Linked DNA regions of Rattus norvegicus. The main gene of each other region encodes a partner of the protein of the gene in region 2 in a complex. Links are inferred from orthologs where the notes say so. Each region holds a gene or a part of one and is shown on either strand. Other genes may lie near its edges.

What was found. Proteins that work in one complex are often made in the same cells at the same time.
Region 1: Phf20 (region 2) and Kansl2 share a complex: the UniProt entries of both Homo sapiens proteins name them as parts of the NSL complex. The link is inferred for Rattus norvegicus from reciprocal best matches to the Homo sapiens genes PHF20 and KANSL2.

Annotation. Positions count from the first base shown.
Region 1 is NC_086025.1:131,559,939-131,567,295, forward strand, and holds the start of Kansl2 (KAT8 regulatory NSL complex subunit 2), read right to left. Parts: upstream 4,816-7,357; 5' UTR 4,450-4,815; intron 4,240-4,449; 5' UTR 4,232-4,239; coding exon 3,981-4,231; intron 2,040-3,980; coding exon 1,861-2,039; intron 1,575-1,860; coding exon 1,460-1,574; intron 1-1,459. UniProt on the Homo sapiens protein: Non-catalytic component of the NSL histone acetyltransferase complex, a multiprotein complex that mediates histone H4 acetylation at 'Lys-5'- and 'Lys-8' (H4K5ac and H4K8ac) at transcription start sites and promotes transcription initiation.
Region 2 is NC_086021.1:165,259,216-165,266,000, forward strand, and holds part of Phf20 (PHD finger protein 20), read left to right. Parts: coding exon 1-34; intron 35-1,027; coding exon 1,028-1,192; intron 1,193-1,707; coding exon 1,708-1,886; intron 1,887-4,315; coding exon 4,316-4,415; intron 4,416-6,025; coding exon 6,026-6,221; intron 6,222-6,785. UniProt on the Homo sapiens protein: Methyllysine-binding protein, component of the MOF histone acetyltransferase protein complex.

The DNA of each region.
Region 1 (7,357 bases), on a different chromosome or scaffold from region 2:
AACACTCAAAGCTCACAGCTTAAACTCCAGTTCCAGGGGATCCACCACCGTCTTTGGGCTCCATGTGCACAGACATACATTCAGGCAAACTAACACACGAAGTATCAAAATGACTGTGACTTCTATTTTTCCTTTAAATACAATCTTTTATCATCAAGACTTTGGGCCTTCGTGGTCCAAGGGATTTAGCTCAAAGGCAGACTACTGCTGGTAAAATGCATATATAGCACAGAAAAGGTTCCAGTTCTGATCTCACCACCACCACCCCCAACACACACGTGATAGGTCATGATAGGCCCACTTTCTTCACAATATCCTCAAAATTCAGTCTCCTAGATTGACCCTTTATTACAAAAATGTAGGAGGGCTACATACCAATTTTATTAGTTTGCCTGCCAATCACAAACTTTAAAGATATTCTAGAGGTTAATCTAAAGATTGTTTCCTGCTTCTGAGTCAAGTAATTAAAAATTGGAAGATTAACTTTGGGCAGAGACAGGCAGATCCCTGAGTTCCAGGCCAACCTGGTCTATAGAGTGAGATCCACAACAGCCAGAGCCACACAGAGAAACTCTGTCTCAAAAAACCAGTGAGAATTTGTGTGGTGAGTGTGCACCTGCACAATGTTGAGGACAAATTCTGCTAAGATGATTCAAAACCTAACATTAGGGAAGGCAAAGCCTGAGGTTGGTCAGCCTGATTCAAATACCAAGTTCCAGGCCAGTCAGAGCCACATGAGACTGGCTTCAAAAAATCAGAGATTTTGGAACAGGAAATATTTTGATATTTCTAAATTCTTAAGATGACCAAGGGTTAGAGTAGACCTTAACATAATTAAAACTTGGGTTTCGAAATCAGTTTTCCTTTTACTAGGCATGAAACCAAAGCCAACTACTGACTGAACACTGTTATTTCCCATTTAAAGAGTCAGAAATGAGCTGGAGAGATGGCTCAGTGGTTAAAAGAGCACTGACTGTTCTTCCAGAGGTCCTGAGTTCAATTCCCAGCAACCACATGGTGGCTCACAACCATCTGTGATGGGACCTGATGCCCTCTTCTGGTGTGTCTGAAGATAGCTGCAATACATATACATAATTTTAAAAATTCAGAACCATGGAATTTTACAGCACGTATCTAAGTATAATGAGCCCATATTTCTGAGACTTGGGGCAAGTACCTATCTAAATGCATTCTCCTCGATAGCCAGCCAGCACTTGTCTGACTCCCTCTCATTCTTGTGTCAAAAGAAGTGTTCTTCCCTAAAGCATCTCATGGGCACTACCCGGGTGCCAGTGACAAGACCTCTGCAAAATAATCAAGGAATCTTGCCTTAGAGCAAAACGGTGCTGAACTGTGACCCTTAAACCCACCTACATGTATTGGTTAACCACATGCCACACTACACTCTACATACTAACTACATAAAGCATGTAAAAGTCTCATGTGGAATACAACTTACTTTAGGGGATCTTCTTGATCACTGTCTATGCTATCAGCTTCACTGTCAGGGTCACCTCTCCATGTCTGATCCACAGTAATGGGTTCCTGGTCCCCATCACTCCAGCTGTCTTCATCTGAGGCAAGGAAGGGAAGAGCAGCCATTAAGACTTCCCACCTCTGTAACTCCACATATGAAGCTACATTACTTAGAGATCAACCCAAAACCTTAAAATGCAAAGTTTTTAACTGTTTCAATTGTTAACACAAGGAAAGGTCACCAAGCTGGGAGAAATCTATCTAAACAAACTCTAAATGCAAAACAACCAGCAACCAGCACGAGCAGGCCCGGCACTGCCACCCAGCTCCCAAGGCACTGCAGCGAGCCAAATCGGCTCGCTCGTAAGCACCTTCCTTGCTTACCCAGTATCCGGCTCGCCTCGCTTCGGCTACTCTCTGGGGTCTGCGAGCCCAGCTCTGTTTTAGCATATGAGCTCAACTGGCACAAGAGGGTTTCACCCATAGGGCCTGGGTTACTCTTCTTCATTTGAGCATGAAGTGCTAGGGCATTCCTTCGAGCATGTTCAGCACAGAAAGACACCCTAAGGAGACAAAGCATTAATATTTAATAGGCCCTCTCTTGAAAGAACCAGCAATATTCAGTCACCAGTTGATTTTTTTCTTTAGGAAATATGACTTATAGTCACACCTTGAAGAGCAGTATGAAACCCAGGCATGGTGACTCACGCCTTTAATCCCAGCACTTTAGAGGCAGAGGTGGATCTGTGAGTTCAAGGTCAGCCTGGTATACACAGTTCCAGGACAGCCAGGGTTAAATAGACCCTGTTGTGGGGTTGTGGGTCAGGCAGCAATGTGAATCAAAAATATAACTGCCCTCAAGTAAGCCATTTGGGGTCCTTGGTGAGGTGTGGTGGGGGCGTGGCGTGGCGTGGCGTGGCGTGGCGTGGCATGTGTGCTGTTCAGTCAGGCCCAGAGCTCCAGGCAGGGAAAGCTCTAACTCATGCTGCCTCCCTGGCTCATAGTAGCTGCTCTCAAAGGGAGCGACAAGTAGCTTACCCACTGTTCTAGTTATCAAATCCATTCCAGCTATAAAAATGTTAGCAGTATCTCAGAAAATCAGAGCTGCTTGTATTTTTTTCAAAATAAATTCTGCAAACACATATTAATATCAATCCACTATAGACAGACAATTCTAAAGCAAGAAGATCTATAAAAAATTATCTAGTAAAGTCCTATGTTTGCACAGGTAAGTACATATGATAAAAAACTATGAAGCTCCTTCCAAAACACACATACATATAGTGAGTGTGCCTTTTACTTAACAAGGTTTGGCAAGTGAGTCAGCACTCCAACATGAAGTGCCATCAGTTCAGTGACTCAGCAAACAAAAGCACCTACCACCAAGGCCGGACCACCCAAGTTCCATCACCACCCCACACAGCAGGAAAACCAACTCCAGAGGGTTGTCCTCTGACCACACATGTTTGGCAGCACGTGAATCCACGGAATAAATGTTTAAGGAAGAATTTAGATCTGAGTATGGGAATAATCTGAGAACTCCAGAAGCTGAGGCAGGAGAATTAGGGGTTCAAAATTACTCTGACCACAGTGAGAACTCAAATGTTAATTTTACAAGTAAGCAATTAACTAAATGCCCCTTCCTCAGCAGTGCCTCAAGTGTCCTTCAAGTTCTCATCATTGGCGGAGTTGGGTAGGAGGGTTAAGACAGGGTTTTGTTTAGCCCTGTCTATTCTGGAATTCAACCCTGTAGCCTAGGTTTGCCTGAACTCCTAGATCACCCCAAGTCAGCCTCCCAAGCACTAGGATTAAAGGCCTGCACCACCACCGCCTAGCATCAGTTCTGATCATTTTCGTATTTTGACATGCCTCCCAAAGAATGTATCCTTTAATTCCAATTTTACAAACACATGACCTAAAACTTCACAGATATGACCAACATAAAATAACTACACATGTTCCTCTTTTCACTTTAAAACTGAAGGCAGGGGACAGGCATGGTGACGCACCAACATTCTGTAACTCCATCCAGTTCCTGGAGATCCACCGCCCTCTCCTCCTCAAGCATGAACATGGTACAAACATACAAGCAGGCAAAACACCCATACACGGAAAAAAAATTTAAAAACCGTAAAAGGTTGCCAAAACTGTTCCAAGCCAGTCTTGTCCGCATGAGGAGAAGTTCCGGGAATATAGACTGTCTCAAAAGGGAGGTGGGGGCGTCCATGACTCTGCGAGCCGAGCCTAACGTCCTCCTATTCACCATACCAAGAGGCATTAGAACCGACTCCAACAAATCGGCCACTGACCTCCCCACGTGTCCCTGCACACACAAATCAAACTACAAACCGGAGATAAATGCTTCAAACTATAGTAAAAATAGGCTCGGTGATGCAACCTGTGCTTTACGTGAACCAGACCCAGGGTTCAATCCTCAGCATTGAAAATTAAGGAACGACTCTCAGAGCCCCAAGGCACAACATACCCACGCGCTCTACACATACCCATCTTTCTTCTCAGGCTTTGGGGCAGCACTGGGGCACCTCTTCCCATTCTTCGTCGAAATGTAACTACATTGTTTGAAGGGTGCATTCTTGTCTTCAAGAATATGCTTAAGACAAAACTCCTGCCCCTCCAGACGCGGCTGAGAGCATGGGCGGTGAGTGAACGAACAAGAGAGGGGCTCCTGAGATCTGGGCACTGGGGTGATCCTCCCCCGATTCGTTGGCAAGACGTGAATCCGAATCCTGTTCATACCAAAACCTGCGGGTAGGTGGTCACGGGAAAGATCAAAATGGCCTTAACCTTGCCAGAAGTCCTTGTCTACGTGCTCCCGCAGGTCGGCGGGCCGCAGGACGAGGGTTGCACCGTAACTCCCGCCGCCCTCCAACCTTCCGTTACTAACCCACCCACCCCCGCCTTCTCCCTACCCGCCTACCCGCCCGCCCGCCCGCTCGCTTCTCTGGTCCCTACCACGTTGGCCGAGTCTCCACAGTAGCCGACCGGAAGCGCGGCGCCTGTCCCACGCGGCACAACTGCAACGGCGCGCCCCGCCCCCACGCCCCGGCACGCCGCCTTTGTCCCTGGCCGCCTCAGAGCTCACAGCCCCGGCCCAAGCGCCTACGCCGTCGTCCTGCGAGCGCCATCTTGTCCTACGGCTCCCGGCACCAGAGAACCTGGCTCCCGAAAGCCCAACAATCAGAATGACTCTGACGCTGCAGGAGACGACGTACCGCGCTGAGTTGATAGAAAGGGCGAGCAGCAGCCTAACGGCAAAGGAGAAGAGCCCGGCACGGCGCCATCTTACCTCCCCGCCGCGCTGCGCCGCGCAGCTCGCCCTCTGGCTGCTCCGCCTGCACGGAACTCGGCCCTGCGGCTCCTAAGCGCTGATTGGTCGTTGTATTAAGGCTGCTGTACCTTTATTGGTCAGAATCAACACTAGACCCGAGGAGGGCGGGACAGTGAGACTCCGCAACGCGATTGGCTGATGTGAAGTGTCTGTCAGAAACTCGGCCCGTGAGTGGGCGGTGGGAAAGGCGGGCCACAGCTCCTCGCTGGGTTCAGATATTTTTTTCCATCTCTGTACCGTTGGTTTTCTGGTGGCGGTGGTCTCCAGTCTTCCCAAGCAGCTACCTCTTTACCATCCCTACACAGCAGAAAACTGAACGGTGACTGACCGTGTTTTCTGTTTACACATGAAAAGGTTTTGTTAGTTTTCTATTGTGAACAGTTCAGCTCATTTTTTTGGTCCTTTCATGTAAACACTCCAACTCTTCTTTTTCCTGTCTCGAGACTCATATGTACTAATTAATTTTTGCAGAGCAGCCCTAAAAGGTAGACGCTATTTTTCTCTTAGGTAGACATTATTTACGGATATAGTGACGGAAAATCAAATTTGAGAGTAGGACATGCTTCTCTCAAATCCTCTAACTCCCCTGCTGGATAGTGTATTATAGAAACAGCAGGCTATTCCGTTTTCGTGATTTTTTTTTTAAGGTTTATTTATTTAATGTATGTGAGTGAGTACACTGTCACTGTCTTCAGACACACCACACCAGAAGAGGGCATTGGACCCCATTACAGAGCGTTGTGAGCCACCACGTGGTTGCTGGGAATTGAATTCAAGATCTCTAGAAGAGCAGTCAGCACTCCCGACCACTTGAGCCATCTCTCCAACCCTCCTTTTAATGTTTTCAAAGTACTGTACCCCTGAAGTTTGAAGTAGTTGTGCATAGAGGGTCTTTTCCTTTGTGTAATTTGTAAGATCTACCTTATGTAGCATTCACAACTTTTCCACATTATCAAAAAGTGTAACTTTTCTTCAAAATACATGCCAGACATGGTAGTCCATGCCAGTTATGTTTCTCAGAACTCAAGATCTTGATGTAGCAAGAGGATGCAGTTTGAGGCCAGATGGCTACACAGTGAAACTGTCTTGAATAAAAACATACTGTGTACCAAAGGTTCAGCTGTGTCTTGATGCTTGCTTGCCAAGTGAATGGCTTAGCCTACTATATAGCTAAGCTATTTTTAACTCTTCAGGCACTCCTGCAACAGTACAGCATGAATGTTTCCCCTGCCTACAAGCTACTTTACCCACCAGGTTCACTGTTGAATCTCAGGTCTTTCTAGCAGATTCAACATCCATAGCGTATTGTGTGATAGGAACCTAATACTATTACACAAAGGCAGAGTGGGAACGATTTAACAAACAGTTAAAGACTGGTTTAAGGACATGGAACATGCAAAACGACAATCAAGTATTTTATCATTAACGTTTATTGATGGGATGGATAAATACAGATTGAGAAACATCCTTGACAGCAAGATATCAAACTGATAGCCAGACTATAAAATGTATACAATATCCTTCTTTAAATTTTTTTGCGTTTTTAAAGTTTTTTTACAAAGAGCCCTTATGATAATGGTCACTTCCATTGTACTGTCATTCACCTAACAGCAGTAGAGATCCCAGGAGTAGCACCCAAAACTCAGGTGCCCCACAGAGGACAGAAGCAACAGCAGAATAATATGCTGAGCAGTACAAAAAAAAAAAAATCAGACAAAAAAACAAAACCTCACCACACAATTGTACCTGAGTGACATAAACCGGTAAAAGTGTGACTTTGCTTTTTCATTTTTCTCTTCTTTTTGTTCTTTGGTCTGATAAGAAAATGAACAGTTTTGCGTGTGGCAAGTCAGGTAATAAAGATCAGTCTCCAGTTCAGAACCCTAAATCACACCTACAAGGCTGCTGCAGCACTGTTTCCTTTGGGTTCTTAGGCCAGACAGCCCTTCCGCTCTGTAAGTGATTTCACTATGGTCCTCAGCTCCTCACTTCCTTGCGGCATACACTGGCGTCTCCAGATTACCTGATGGCAGACACACTTGCTCTGGCTTCAGTTAACATGCTGTCAAGCATCCCTCTCGACATTCACATGGCAACACAAAACCCATGAGTTTCTCGCCATACAACCAGGAATACGCACTCATAAAGGAAAGAGTAGACACTGATTTTTATTAAACATTCTTTTCCTTCCCCTTTCCATTGCCAAGTTCATACTAACAATCTCAGAATACTAAAACAGAGTCCACCCACTCTGAAACAACTGTGAACTTAGACCACTCCATCAGGTAAGATCACAGTACCATTCTTCTCCAACCTTCCACCCGCTGAGGGGTAAGAAAGAAATGACAGCGTGCTGTTGTGAGAATGCTTCCTAAACATAAAGATTCAAACCTCAACCAACGCCAGGACATTTGAGGACGTATGAGTCACCGAGAGCTCAGTGGAATGGCAGGAAGCTATTTCTCACTATCTGGTGGGTTGCATAGACTGTTTAAATTCTCCCGAACCCAGGAGAATAAAATAGGCATTCCG
Region 2 (6,785 bases):
AAGAAAAAGAAAAAGAAAAAGAAAACCAAGCCTGGTATTTTTCATGGAGGGCTTCCCCACTCAGGAAGACCATGAGGCCTTTCTTAGGGCTTGTGGGCTCAGCGTAGCATGGGTCCTGGAAGAGGATATGGGTTGAGGCTGACCATGCCACCAACTCTTACAGAGACTTAGTTTATTTACTGTTATCACATGCACTTTCTGATGTGTGTAAGTGAAGGTGTCCACATGTACAGTGCATGTGTGGAGGTGCGAGGACAGCTTTCAGGAACTAATTCTCTTCCCACTGTGGGTTCCAGAGATTTAACTCAGGTCACCAGACTTGTATGGCAAGAATATTTTCCCATTGAGCCATCTTGCTGGCCCCCTCAACCAGGTGTCAGAAAGTTTGACTGGCCTTTATCAATGCCTCCCCGCTTGTGGCATTGGCCACCAGTATGTCCTGTCACAGGGAAGTATATGGATATGCACAGGAATAGTGTTTTGCTTACGTAACTTCTCCCCCTCTGATGTTTCTGAGACATGGTCTTTCTTCCTGTCTCAGATTGTTCTCAAGCTCTCAGTCCTTGAGCATCCTGAGCACTGAGGTTACATGCATGTGTGATTCTCGAGGTGTACTTGTCTAACTGTTAAATACCCAACTCTCAAGAAAACCTTCAGTTGTTGAAAACTGTGAGGTGGGCAGCGAATGAGTCATGTGATCAGCCAGTGTGTGCAGCTCGCTTTTGGGTTTAGATTTCTGGGAATTCTAGGCTGCGAAAAATCTCTGCTGTAACCATGGGAGCTAAAGAGATGCCATGTTTCATTCTCTGTGTCCCTTCCGGCTTATGAAATCTATTTACCAGAAAAGGAAAGGGGTGGGATTGGGGAGGACATGTTCTCAGAGGTGACTGCCCTTCACCCCCTCTGTGGTGTGATGTACCTAGACCTTTCAACTCTTTGAACTCAAAGGCTGTGATTGGATGGGGTTGCTTCTGGGATGTCTGATGGTACCTGGGTTGCTCATTTGTGCCTGATGCTGTTCTTGTAGAATGTCCCTGCAGTGAGGACATCAGTGATACCTCCCAGGAACCTTCTCCACCCAAAACGTTTGCTGTCACCAGGTGCGGGTCCTCACACAAGCCTGCGGTCCATATGAGCCCGCAGCTCCATGGTTCAGATACTGGAAACCACAAAGGGAAATTGAAAGCATGTGGTAAGAGTTCACTCTCACTCGTGGACTATTAGAACGTGTGTGCTATGTGAGCATGGGTGTGTTGTAGAGTAGTACTCAGTGATTGGAAGTAGTCAGTGAGAAGGTCTAGCCTTATCCCCTGCAGTTGCCTCTACCTCTCTCCCTACCGTGTGCAGAAATCTAAAGGTGGCTGTGGACAGAAATGCCTATAAGGCAGGTAGGTCCTGGTTGGCTGGGGATAAAGCTAGGAAGCATTTTAGAGTCCTTGGGGTGATGATATATGTGGGTCATAAGAAGTCACTTTTCTGACAATGAGCTCAGTGATGCTGGGAGCCCCTTTGTGTCCCCTTAGGGAAATGGGGACATTAGTTCAGCCCTGGTCAGGCAGCATGCATCAGTTGAGCTGTTCTAATAAGCATAAAGCTGAAAACTGAGTCCTGTTTCCAGGCCCATGGAAGTCCCTGGACAAGTGGGGATGAAACACAATGTTACGTGTGAGTTTAGAGCACTGACTGTTGGCTTCCCTTTCCTTCCAGAGGAGGATAATTTGAGCGAGTCCTCTTCCGAGAGCTTTCTTTGGAGTGATGAGGAATACGGTCAAGATGTTGATGTGACCACCAACCCAGATGAGGAGCTTGAAGGCGACGACCGCTATGACTTTGAGGTGGTCCGATGCATCTGTGGAGTGCAGGAGGAAAATGACTTTATGATTCAGGCAAGTAGAGTTTCCAGAACACAGGTTAGAGGAAGACATGAGTGAGTCATGTGAGCAGTTCGCACAGCATTAGACTGAGCTTGCTTTTGGGTTCAGATTTCTGGGAATTCTAGGTTGCTGAAAATAACCCATTATAGAATGAGAAGTCATTGAGGCCAAAGGGAAAGCCTTGCCTGTGGTCTCACAGAGAGGAGTTGGACAACAGGGACTCAGACTGTAGAGTGGTAATTCAGTCTTCTTTATGGGCTCATCTTCTCTTTGAGATAAATTTCCCTGGTGTCCTGAGGGAAGAAATGGAGTCAGGTTTTATAATTTGTCTTCCTCTGTTATTTGGTGTGTGTGTATGTATGTGTGTGTGTATGTATGTGTGTGTATGTGAGCATGCATGTGTGCTGGCAGCAGGTGTTCCCAATGAAGGGATTTGGCAGCCTACCTACCATACATCTCTGCATAGGCTATATGTATTAGGAAGAGCAGGCTTTTTTGGCTTTTTGCTTTCCTTGTTTTATATGCATGATAACAAAATTTGAAGTTGACTTAAATTTGAAGTTGCATTTATGTCTTTTGTCCTTTTTTTTTTTTTTTAAGGGCAGAGTCTCTGTCTTAGTTACTTTTCTGTTGCTATGATAAAATATCCTCACAAAAGCAACTTAAGGGAGAAGTTACTGTAGCCCACAGTTCTAGATGGACATAGAATGGTGTGGTGGCAGGGGCATGAAGCCAGCTCCTCCTGTCTCAGTGTCGAGAAGAAGAGTGGAACTAATTCATACCTGCATGCCACACTTAGCTTACTTCTTTACTCTGGCAAGGTTTAGCATCCCCTGCCCAGGAATGGTACCACCTATAATGGGGGTCTCCCTCTCACGCTATCCAAAACAATCCTGAATAAACAGACTCATAAACTAACCTGATCTAGACAATCCCTAAATGAGAGACTCTTCACCGTGATTCTAGATTCAAGCTAATGAAACTAACCAGTCTCACTTGGCCCCATTTCTTCTCAAACATGCTGTATTTTCTGTTTTGTCTCCTAAATGCTGAGGTTACAGGCACAGGCTACCATGCTGTCTCTGCTTCCTGGGTGTAGATCTGTGTGGCTTCTTCTAGAACTTCAGACGCTTTGTTCTTTAAGCACCTTATGCATGCTTATTTTGGTGTGGAGTGAGGGCTGTGACTTCAGTTTACTGGCAGTGTGCTCACATTTTGAAATGTTGCTTGATTTACTGCCTTTCTCTGTACATTCGGGTCTCTTTCTGGATCCTCTCTTTTTCAGTGAAGCAGAGGCGGAAGAACACAACAATGCTGTGTGATTATTTTATGCCTTTGTAATAGTCTAATTCCCTGGCAGGGCTGGCCCCCTCCCTCTCATCTTTCCTCTCTGCATATATTTTCTGTCTACTAATTTTAGAGTCCTGCTTAGTTTCAGAGCTACCAACTTCCTTATTTTTGGGGGCCACAATGTTTTATAAGCCCAAGTAAAGTTAGTGTCTTCAAGGTAGTGATCCTTTCTGCTTCCTGACCCTGGCAGGTCTCCCAGGACCAGGAAAGAGGGGGTTGAGCGCAGGCTTTGCAGGAACTCTTGCACTTGGCTAAGTTCACGCTGTCTCATGTGCCATTAATCACCTGTGCAACCTTCAGCAAGTTTTAAGAATAAATGCAGAGAACTAGGGCGTGATTGCTCTAGGAGGCCAGAGGGACTTAGCTACCATCTGTTAATAATAGAAACTCAGTGTGAGGCTTTGTGCTGAGTTCATAGTGGGAGGATGTGCATATGACCCATGGATTCCTAACAGACAGCCTGTGGTGTGGGCAGGAACAGTATCGCATCTCCACTTGGGGAAACTGAGGCCTAGGGCTGAGACCTGGAACTGTGCCATGTAACACATAATGTATTCTAAGAGTTTGAACAGGTTTCATTAAGCCCCACAAAGTGATCATGAGGCTGAGCGGCAGGAATGGCAGCAATCAGTCTGAAGTCAGTACTATTCAACTGATTACATTTTTGCTCCATGTTTTGTTTTTGAGACAGGTTCTGAAGTATTCCAGGCTGGCTCTGGTCTCATTGTGTAACTGAGTCTGGCTGAGCCTATCCTCATGCCTCTGCCTTTCAGGTTCTGGGATCATAGACATATTCCACCACACTTGACCATCTAGATTCTCTTTATTGTGCTCTATTCTGTTCCAGAGACAATAGTCATACGGACACTTCTGAAATGGCTCTTGGGACTGAAGAACTAAGGACTCTTAACTTAATTTGTTCGTTATGCGTCACCCTCCATGTGATCAGTGGTGGCCTAGTTGGGTCATTGTGTAGCCATAGCTTTGTTGAGTAGAGGTCAGAAGGGAGCGCTCCCCCCATTTCCTTTCACCCACACTCCAGGTCAGTGGGCTCTACTTTCTAAGTTCTGTTGCTTCTTTAATTCTCACAGTGTGAAGAATGCCAGTGCTGGCAGCACGGGGTCTGCATGGGATTACTGGAAGAAAATGTGCCCGAGAAATACACCTGCTACGTTTGCCAAGACCCTCCAGGTAGAGCTTTCTGGAGCTGGGTTGGGAGCAGTATGTAACCTCTTCCTTAGCACAGCAACTTTCCACACACCGTGCTTGTACTCTCGGAGAATCTTCGCTAATGACCAGGTGACTCTGCTCACCTTTGTTGCAAGCCCACGTGGTGGCCTGTCCTTCTGAACGTAGCAGTAAGGGATATGTGTGAAGATGCTTACCTAGCAGAAGGCCTGGTCTTGGAATGTAGTGGGAAACACATATGGTGTTGTTAACGAGAAGCACAAAGCTTGTAGGTCTGATCAAAACTGTCCACAGTGTTGAATGCTCCACGAATTCTCCTGTCATTCTTGCTCAGGGCCTTGCCAATCTTTTGTTCCAGTTTCAGTAGTGAGAGAGTTTCTTCCTTGAGAGCTGAGGATGAGTGTGTGGCTCTGTTGGTGGCATTGCAGGGATGTCCGAGGGCACGTGTTTGCCATTGCACTCACGAGTGACTCGAGTGAATGCATCGGGTTGGAGGGTGCTGTCTCCTGAGCCTTTGGAGCAGGAAGTGCTGCCGAGTCCCTGAGCTCATGCTTCCTGTCCTTTCCAAGGAGGCTTGTGATGGGCAGGGCCCAGGAATCACCCAGGTCATCTGTTATTTGACAGATGGGAAGCAGGGTCCAGCGAAGGGAGGGCCTGTCACCTGACTAGCTGGGGCAGGCAGTACTGTTGGAAGGGGCTTGGAGCCTTATACTTGCTCTGTGTCCCTTTGACACATGATGTCAGGCTCTGGGACCACAGCCATCAGTAAGATGGTTCATTTCTTCTGCCTTTTAATGGGACCTGGGAGAGAAAACAAGTTAAATAAACATAAGACAGGTATACAGGTGAAGCTAGGAGGGAAAGCAATGAGGTGGTAACCAGGGACCCTGAAAAGGCCTTCTGTTGCCAGCTGGTGACCAAAAGGCCTGTGTGAGGAGACGGGCAGCATATGCCCTGGAGAGGCCTCGGGATGTGCTGATTCAGATAGTAGTACTAGAGGGAAGAGGTGAGGCCAAGGAAGAGGTGTGTGTGTGTGTGTGTGTGTGTGTGTTTAAAACTCATGATAAGGGTGGAGTGAGGAGAAGAGGAAAGAAAGCAGGATTCAGTCGGCCTTAATAGATAGAGTTAGGGATTTTGGGTCGCCTTCTGTAAGCAGGCGAAAGCTATGGAAGGTTGTGAGAGAGGAGGGAAGGAAATGACTTAAGTCTGAAGAAATAACTCAGCTGGCCATGACGGTAAACATCTGTATTCCAGAACTCTTCAAGGAGAAGCAGGAGGAGTGGGTTCAAAGCCAGTCTAAGCTACATGGTCAGTTTGAGGATTGTCTGAGCTGTGTGAGAGCCTGTCTAGAGAAAGGAGGGGAAGGGCAGAAGCAGCATGGGAAGGAGGGAGGAGATGGTTGAAAGGAGGAAGAATACAGACCTGTGGCTAGTGGAAGGGACCATGCCTTGTTTCTGCCTTGTCGCCAACACCTCATGGAGGCCAAGTAAATGTGAACCAAATGAATGCAGCAGTCAGAACACAGTTCTGGAAACTCAGGATGATAGGACCGCTGAGGGGACAGCCTAGGCTTCCCTCGGGCGTGTTTGACTGTTTTAATGTTATCACTGTAGGTCAGAGGCCTGGCTTCAAGTACTGGTATGACAAGGAGTGGCTGAGCCGGGGACATATGCATGGTCTGGCATTTCTAGAAGAGAACTACTCCCATCAGAATGCCAAGAAGATTGTGGCCACCCATCAGCTTCTCGGGGATGTTCAGAGAGTGATTGAAGTTCTGCACGGCTTGCAGCTCAAGATGAGCATCCTGCAGTAAGTGTGCTGCTTGCAGCTTTGGGCAGGAATTCACTGTGGCTCTCAATCCAGTCAGGTTTGTGGGAAACCACAAAGACTGATAAGTTTGAGACCTGTACCAAAAATTCTGTTGCCATACTGAGTTTGTGGCTTAGGGGTAGAGTGTTTGCCTAGCCTGTGTGGTACTGAGTTTGATTATCAGTACCCTCACCCCACCCAACTCCCCTCAAAGTCAGTTTACATATAAGCATTTCTTTGTAAAGCAATTGACTTTATTAAGGACTACTTTGCGTGTAATTAAGTTCACTTATATTAAGACCTTATTGAATTTGGTAAGTGCATGTAACACATGTAAATTGGGACATGCTGTATGCATTTGGTGTCTTGTTTTCCTGTTTAAAGCAGTTGTGTACGTGCATGTGCACACAAATGATACACGGTTCAGAGGTCAGAGGACAGTTTGCAGGAATTTGTTCTGTCCTTTTACCATGTCTTAGCCTTTCCTTGAGAAATGGAATTATTATAGATATTGGCCACTGTGCATAATATACACACTTAAGTTTGCTTTGTGCTGTCTTTGGG